2 linked regions of the Struthio camelus genome follow. The protein of the gene in region 2 purifies or fractionates together with the protein of the main gene of each other region. This does not show direct contact. Links are inferred from orthologs where the notes say so. Each region holds a gene or a part of one and is shown on either strand. Other genes may lie near its edges. The genes, in order: PIAS1 and STAT1.

The links.
Region 1: the proteins of STAT1 (region 2) and PIAS1 purify together in Homo sapiens (affinity purification with western blotting; 5 studies listed by BioGRID). This does not show direct contact. The link is inferred for Struthio camelus from reciprocal best matches to the Homo sapiens genes STAT1 and PIAS1.

The regions. Positions count from the first base shown.
Region 1 is NC_090953.1:2,280,579-2,284,494, forward strand, and holds the start of PIAS1 (E3 SUMO-protein ligase PIAS1), read right to left. Parts: upstream 2,866-3,916; 5' UTR 2,851-2,865; coding exon 2,788-2,850; intron 2,682-2,787; coding exon 2,237-2,681; intron 1-2,236. UniProt on the Homo sapiens protein: Functions as an E3-type small ubiquitin-like modifier (SUMO) ligase, stabilizing the interaction between UBE2I and the substrate, and as a SUMO-tethering factor. Catalyzes sumoylation of various proteins, such as CEBPB, MRE11, MTA1, PTK2 and PML.
Region 2 is NC_090947.1:14,437,878-14,441,793, reverse strand, and holds the start of STAT1 (signal transducer and activator of transcription 1-alpha/beta), read right to left. Parts: upstream 2,450-3,916; 5' UTR 2,268-2,449; intron 1,323-2,267; exon of another isoform or gene 1,250-1,322; intron 266-1,249; 5' UTR 265-265; coding exon 137-264; intron 1-136. UniProt on the Homo sapiens protein: Signal transducer and transcription activator that mediates cellular responses to interferons (IFNs), cytokine KITLG/SCF and other cytokines and other growth factors.

The sequences.
Region 1 (3,916 bases), on a different chromosome or scaffold from region 2:
AGGGAGATAATCATTCAAAATCCCAGCTCAGGTCATCAATTTGTTCTTGTAGTGGAGGGAAGGAGAGTGAAACCAGTTTTGCATCCCCCTGTGAGGAATCCGGGGAGAAAAAGCAAGCAGGAGACCCTGAAGTGCTGGCCAGATGCCAAGGAGAAGTTCAGAAGGTTTGTACTATGCATCAACCATTTGAAAACAAAGGCAGAGGACTCAGAAGTTTGACATTTAAATGCCAAGCCCACATTGTTTGCAGCAGTGAGGAGGATATCCCAACCATTTGAGGCAAATGTTCAGCAAAACCTTCAATGTTGTTTTTAGTTAAAACATCAGTAACTGTATATATGGAGAAATTTAAACAAAGCTTTTTTTGCATTCTGTAATTAGAGATACAAGTCCACATTATTTACGTTTAAAACTGCTGACCTGTATGCAAAATTGCTTTAAGTTGTTTTGAAAGTGTATAAAACTGTATATCACTGGGTTTTAATCCAATGGGGTTTTTTGATTAGCATATACATTAATTACTTAAAAATATCCTCATGACATTTGTAGTTAGCAATTTTATAATCTGCAACAACATTACTTAACCACTACCAAAAGCAACCAACACAACTGTTTCTCACATAGACACTGAAGCTCTCTCTTCCCCAACAAGCTTAGGAAAAATAACTTTTCAGTAGTACTGCCTCAGATAAGCAAGGCAAAAAGGCAGCACAGGATGCAGATGCAAACCAAAACACAAAACATACCCATAAGTTATTAATTTAAAGGACAGACAGTGCTTGAAAGGTACTTGGCTGGAATTTCAGCTTCTTCCATTTTCCTACCCTGACATTCTGAGAGCCCACAAAGGGGAAAAATACCATATTGTATATAAACTCCTTAAGCAATAAGGCATGACAGAGTGTGAATTATGATCTCTTAATTTACGACTGGTTTGTCAGGCATGAAGCTGACAGTAAAGTGTTCTTACCATTTCTAGGAATAAATGCATACTGTAACTCCTTCATTGGAATGTCTTATTGAAATTATACCATTATTTTTTGGAGTATTTATAATATAAAAGTGATTAGACACATTCTGACTACCCAGTTATCCTGCACCGCCAGCACCGCCTGGAATGCTTATTAATTAATTAGATTTTAGACTAAAGCTAAATATATATAGTATACCTCTTAAAAGAGTATCTGAACCATAAGCGACACTTCATTTTATTCCAGAGATTATCAACTGCTCTCTCTCTCAACGTCTCAACTTTAACAGGTTAAAACAAAAAATATGCAAACAACTGTGCAGGTGATCACACTTCAGAAGTTTACAGACCGCTACTCACACGCCTCTCCTTCATCCCTGTAGCAGACTAGTCTATTAATAGAAATTACCTGCTCGTTGCTGTTTAGGAGTGTTCTCTTTCACAAAGCACAGTCTCCTCACTCACTCACCCACCATCCCTCCATATCTGCCCTTACAAATACCCTCCTCCCCCTACTAGCTATTCTCAAAGTGATTCTTTTCCAGGGTTTCAAAACAGCAGAACGTTCCAACATGCAAGCAGTCCCTCCAGAAATCTACCACACTATTGTATTTAAGAGTATTAAAAGTTAACCACACTCTTAAGTGTTATGCGGAGTCAGAGCCAGAAAAATCACACATTGTTATATAACGCTCAGTAAGCGTCAGAATATTCTCAGCAGCTACACAAGTGTTTTATAGGTTAATACAAGAGTTTAAAAGGAAAAAAAAACCAAAACAGTCAAAACAGTAGAAGAACCACAAGTGTTCCTAAACTCAGATGTTAGAACCATAAGGGATCACAGCAAATACCTAGTCTGACATTCTTTCACAGCACAGACAACTAGATTTCTTGGGTTTGATGGACTTAGGGTTTGGGGTTTTTTTTTAATTACATTCTTTAGTTTAACTGCCTGCTTTCAGTAGTTCATATTTTCTTTAAGTTCTCTTTTTTCCAAGGTTTAGTTTGTTTCTTGTCAAACTCACCCCTTAAACATAATGGAACTTTGAACCATACTTAGTAGCTCAGCTAGAGCAACTAATGAGCGTTACGTAAGATGTCTCTCCATGTGTTGTAGAACAATCTGTTCCAAAAGTTACCAAAAATAGCAATTCTCTAAACAGTGGCGTGATGCAATATTTAACCAGATAGTACACTAGCAGCTGAATTCATCCATTACTCCTAAAAAGTTTTCAAATATTGTTATTACAACGTTTGCAGCCTTACCTAGACTTGTAGGTTTTATCAGCTCATCCAACAAGTCATAAAAAGGTAATTTCTGAAGTTTGATGTCGGGATGGACAGGGTGGAGCGCAGATGTAAGATGGGGGAGTTCCAGTTCATGTTTAGGTCCCAGAAGTGAAACGGGAAGCAATGGTGATGTTGCGGGGTGGCCATCATAGCTGAGCTGTGGAATGGTAGACGGAGACAAAGTTGCTGGCATGGAACTTGAGTGTACACTGGGGATAGATAAGTCTGCAGGCGTCATGATTTTCTGAGGGAACCTTCGCCTATAGAGTTCTTTGATTTTCATTTGTACAGCGGGACTGCAGCCAGCCTTTAATAAATGCAGTGCTTTTGTGAGAAGTTCGTGTTTTCGTCCGTGCTTGTTCCTCCCCGCGTAACCCAGAAGTACTTGCAGTTCAGAAACTCTAAGGCTCATAACCATTTGCTTAAAAGAAACAAAACAAAAAATTAGTATTCAAGTTACATCATCTTACACACTAACATCAGAATGTGGCTTAATCCTGGTGAGCATACAATTTTTAAAGGCATACCATTACTGCTCTTCTCCCACTGATGATCTGAAATACAACATAAAACAGGACTTGTTCACACATAGATATATTGACTTTGAAAGTCTAATCAGCAATTTTTTAAAGGAATTTCTTTTGCAATAGGTAATTCAGGACAGCAATTCTGAGGTAAAAATTTGAGACAAGGACAAGTTGCCAGTACAAGACATAAGGCTTTTAATGTACCAATGTTCTAATCACTGCTCCCCTAACACCTACAACATTTAACAAGCTTTATGACTTCCAGCTAGAGGAATAAAAAGTTACACATTGACAATACCCAAGTCTCCAGTACTTGCACTTAAAAACTGCAGCAACCCTTCACTCTGACACCCTACTTCACTTTCAAGTCCCTCTCTCACTTTTTGCCAGGCAGTGTAACTAATCAGTCAGCACAGGTTCAAAGGAAGGCAGAGAAGTGACTGATGTTAAAGACACTTAGAAAAATTGTAATCTGATTTTTTGCAAGTCCATATGATCATTACTGGGTTAAAGGAAACTTCTTCAGATCCAATCTCCAATATAAATTAAGCAATTTCCTTACTCATCCCTCTTCTCTCACTTCACAGCTGCTTGTCCTGTTGCGGATGGGGGAGTTGGGCTTTGCCTTCCATTAGTTACCACGTGTTTCTACACGGTCTGTCTCCCAATATGGCCTAATGAATCACACTGTAAGACATCTAGGCTGTTTCACTTCTTGAGGAACTGAGGAAACAAAACTAGGCAAAGCAGTGAAACCAGCAATCATCCGCGTGCGCTAAAGTACTTCCCCACTGGTCAAATAGCGGCCAAAAATTCAACTTAGGAGCCTAGTGTCTCTTTTAAAGCTTCTTTCAGTGCTTGACAGGGACTTTTTTTTTAACATTGCAAGGCCTGTGACATCAGCTGAAGTGATCTTTCTGTACAGTTTTGGATTCCCAAGCAGTCAAAGAAAAATAAAACGCCCCCTACCCACTACCACAACTGGTTATCTAGGACTTCTGCACAAAACCATTTAAAAAACTCTGAATATTTTATAGTCAATTCCAAAACAAATTCAACATCATATTTGAAGCGTATATATAGGACCAACATAACCAATTAGGCATATCGAGGTTCTGCAACTTCCCAA
Region 2 (3,916 bases):
CTTGCCAGCATAGGTCTACCTAGCAGCTTGCTTCCCCAGAACTTTTTTGCTGCCTGTGACTCCGCATGAGAGCACTGCTTGTCATGTAACCTGAAGGCCAGTTTCTATGCACATCACCACTGTCCTTCAGGCTTACCAGTCTTGGTTTTCCAGCCACTGAGCTAGGTACTGTCTAATTTCCATAGGAAAGCTGTCATCATACAGCTGGTGAACTTGCTCCAAAAACTTGGAATCAAGTTGCTGCAGCTGATACCACTGAGTCATCCTAGGGAAAAAAAATAAATCAATGTAAATAATTAATATTTGGACTTAGCTAGTGAAAAGTCACTCATTTAAAGTTCTCATTAAAAATGGTAAAATTGGATGAGCAGGAAGGAAAAGTGTTTTCAGTAAAAACATAGGTTTTTAGATGTAACAAGAGAAAGCTACTCATCAAACTGAATACAATTTTTCCATGCCCATTTTAATTTAAAAAAAATACAGCAAATTAAGACAGTCACCATACTATTTCATGACAAGTAAGTCAAAGTTCAATCACGTTTTATGGAAACTTGCATTTCTTTTTTCCTTTGAATCCATGTTCACAGCACTTAGGGTACTAGTAGTGTTATTCTCTATTCTTTCTTTCTTCCTTACCCCCTGTTAAGGGGGTATATCCCTAAATATGTATGAGCAGCTATGTGCCCTGTACCTGTACTCGGTAGGATCAAGATCCCATTTTCATCTGTGCAGATATTGTCCCTGCCAATCCCCAGAGGTGGAAGAAGTAACTGGAAAAGTAAAGAAACTTCTAGGGGCTCACTTTCAGGTACTACATGTGTCTCTACCTACCTGCTCTGAAAATGGCCTAGACCTCAGGTTGCTTTAAATGGAGACGTATTTGAAAGATATTCTCTTTGTATTATGCTTTAGTAGTTATGATCAGATTTTCAGGCTAAATTCAAGTCTCTGCAGTAGACATGGGTTATCTAGAATTAACTAGTATGACTGAGAGAAGCCATGCTGCGCAGTTAAGAGTTGTTATAGAGTGGCTGTTAGCTCTGATGTATGGACTCTTGCTGGAAAGCAGTTATCTCCTCCTTTCTGGTCTGCAGGTTAGTGTCTTGCAGTAGTGGCAGGTAAAGATATGTCCAGGGAATAGCTGTCAGGCTCAGGTGGAGACATGTAACCCCGCTTGCATCTGCAACCTCTTCAAAAAGGTGATAAGACTTATCCAAAGGACAATGTACACTCGGGGGTGAAGCAGTACCTTGTGTATGGGCTGTTGCCAAATCCATTAGTGTTTGTATGCCAGATCCCTCAACTGTAGAGTTGCATATAGCCTATGCGAGAGCAAGTGTAAGGTAAAAAATGCTATGATGTTTAAAGTAAGGGCTTTGGGGCTTTTTGGTGTGGGCAAGATTCCAACTCTAGAAAACACAGCAGTTAGTTTGAATATACTGTAGTTAATTTGAATATACTGTAGTGGCACCAAGGCCAACAATTAAAGCATGATACTGGTGAGGAAAGCTGGAAGGGGGTATCCAAATGCACAAAGTTTTTTTTCTTTCTTTCTTTTTAAAAGCACTGCTTAAATACTGCTATAAGGTACTCTAATCCTCCTGTGTCTTAAAGCAACCACATTGGACAGGGGCTTGGGAAGCCTGGCGGAGAACCCTCTGAATTGGGGGTTACAGAGCAACGTGATCACGTAGCAGGCGTGATCCTTGGAGAGGCGAGCAGGGAAACGCTCACGCGGGGAGGAAGTCGGTACCGCTCGGGGAGAAACGGTTAGCGAGACCCGTGGCAGGGCAGGGCAGGGGGGCTCAGGCCGGCCCTGGCAAACTGGCAGGGAGGAAAGGCTGCTTTGCTGCTTCACCTCCCCCGGGGCGGTCAGGGTGACCCAAGGGCAGCCGGCGTGCCTCTCTGCGGGCAGCAGGGCCCTGTCTCCCCGGCAGCCCCCGCCGCTGTGTGCGGCTTCGTGTCCCGCCGGCAGCCGCCCGCTCCCGCTGCGAGGCGACAGGGCTTCGCCCCCTCCTCGCCGGGCGCCGCGCTCGCCTTGTCACAACTCATGTTTAGTATCGTTTCTGGCTCTCCGGCTGACGGCCAGCGAAGCAGGCGCTCGCAGATGGGGGGCCGAGCGCAGGGCAGCCGTCCCGGCTGGCTGGGAGCCTGCACCCCCCTCCATCCCCCCCCCCCACCGCGGGCCGGGGGGCAGCGGCGGCAGTAGCCCCCTTCTCGCGCGACCCCCCTCCCCCGCGGCCGTTGGCCCGCACGCGCACACTTACTCGAAGACGAGGCTGCGCTCCAGCTCTGCACCGCGACGGCCACCCGTACCGAGAAATACTCGCAAAGCCGCAGCCCCACGGCCCGCCCGAGAGCCAATGGGAGCCTCGCTTTCGCCGCCCCGGCCAATGGGCTCGCGGTGCCGCCGCGCTCGCCCCGCCCCGCCCCCTGCCCTTGCCCTCTCGCTCTCGCAGCGGGGAGGCAGGGCGGTCCCGGGGCGGCTCCCCCGCCACCCCGGCCTGGGCCGGGCCGGGCGCTGCCGCCCTGACGGCTGTCGTCCGGGTGCCTGGCCAGCCGACTACCTGTGCAGAACTATGCCCAATCTGCGGGCCAAACACCAAATGCGCCGAGGTTTCGACCGCTTGCTGTGTGATGGAGCAGCAATGACGTTGCCAATAGTAGATGAAGCAGAAATACCGCGCGCAACGTCATTCTAGGGCACAGGCCTGCATTTTTCTTGATTTCTAGCTTTTGCAAAGAATATTAGCACAAAAAAAAAAGTTTAGAAGCGTAGCTGGATATATGTGAGAGAATATGCCAGCTAGGAGCAAGGAACGAAAAGGTGCGCGATGCCTACGGAAACCCGCATGAGTAAATATAACACGGGGAAGAGAAGCAAATGATACTGCAGGAAAGGTGGCCAACAGGAAGGAAGGTTAGGTGTCGGGAGTAACAGGCTGTAGGAAAAGACAGCCCCTGTCCTAGGAGGAAAGAGTGTAAAACTGACCCCGACCCAAGTTCCGACACGGAACGCGTGTGCATCCGCCTCCTTGGGGGGGGGGGGGGAGAGGGCGGCCGTTACCAACGGCCCCCGGCCGGGCGCGCGCCAGAGCGCAGGCGCGGCTCCCCGCGGCGGGGGGGGGCAGCGAGGCCCGGGAACAGCCGCGTCACGTGATTTCGGGGAACGGGCCGGCTGAGGGGAAGGCGAAAGCGAAAGGAGCGGCGGCGGCGGCGGGCGGCCGGCCGAGCCGGCGGAAGGGCAACGGTCTCGTCCGTCTCTTCGTGGAAGAAACGAACGTAACTGGCACAGGTCTGGTAGAAAGGCAGTCAGTTTATGAACTGCAGCCCAGTTTCCTATCTAAGTTGCAGTGACTTTTAAGAATGAGAGCTGCAAACAAAAGAGTGTTTATAATCTTTCCGGATATGTTGCCGGTTGGGATTCCCCGCTCTCCCCCCCTCCCCCCCCCCCAATGAATTGTTTTGGCAGTTTTCCTTTCCTCGTGCCCCTCTCTGTGCGAGCCGTTTTGTCTGTTAGGACTGCACTGCTCCCCCCGGTCGTGCCGGGTCTCGTTTGTTTCTGACCGGTTACAACCGCAGCTCAGGCTGTGGCGCCGGTCTCCAGCGGCGCAGACCTTTTTCTGGCTTAGTTTGGATCCCTTTCTCCTCAAAATGGAGGAAATGATATGAAGTCTTAAATCGTACCAAGTACTGTGTACAGATTTTTAATGCTATAGTTGATGGTAACTAGCAGTTTTCGTTTAACTTGAATCATGGTGATGTGGTCAAACACAAAGCACTTAGTGATTTTTTTTTCCTGTTGTTTTTGACTTTGCAGCTGCAAAACATGGTGAAAGCACTTGAAAGCACATGTTTCATCTTTTCTGTCAGTATCCAAGAATGTAATTTTCAACATTTTCTCATTCTATTTTAT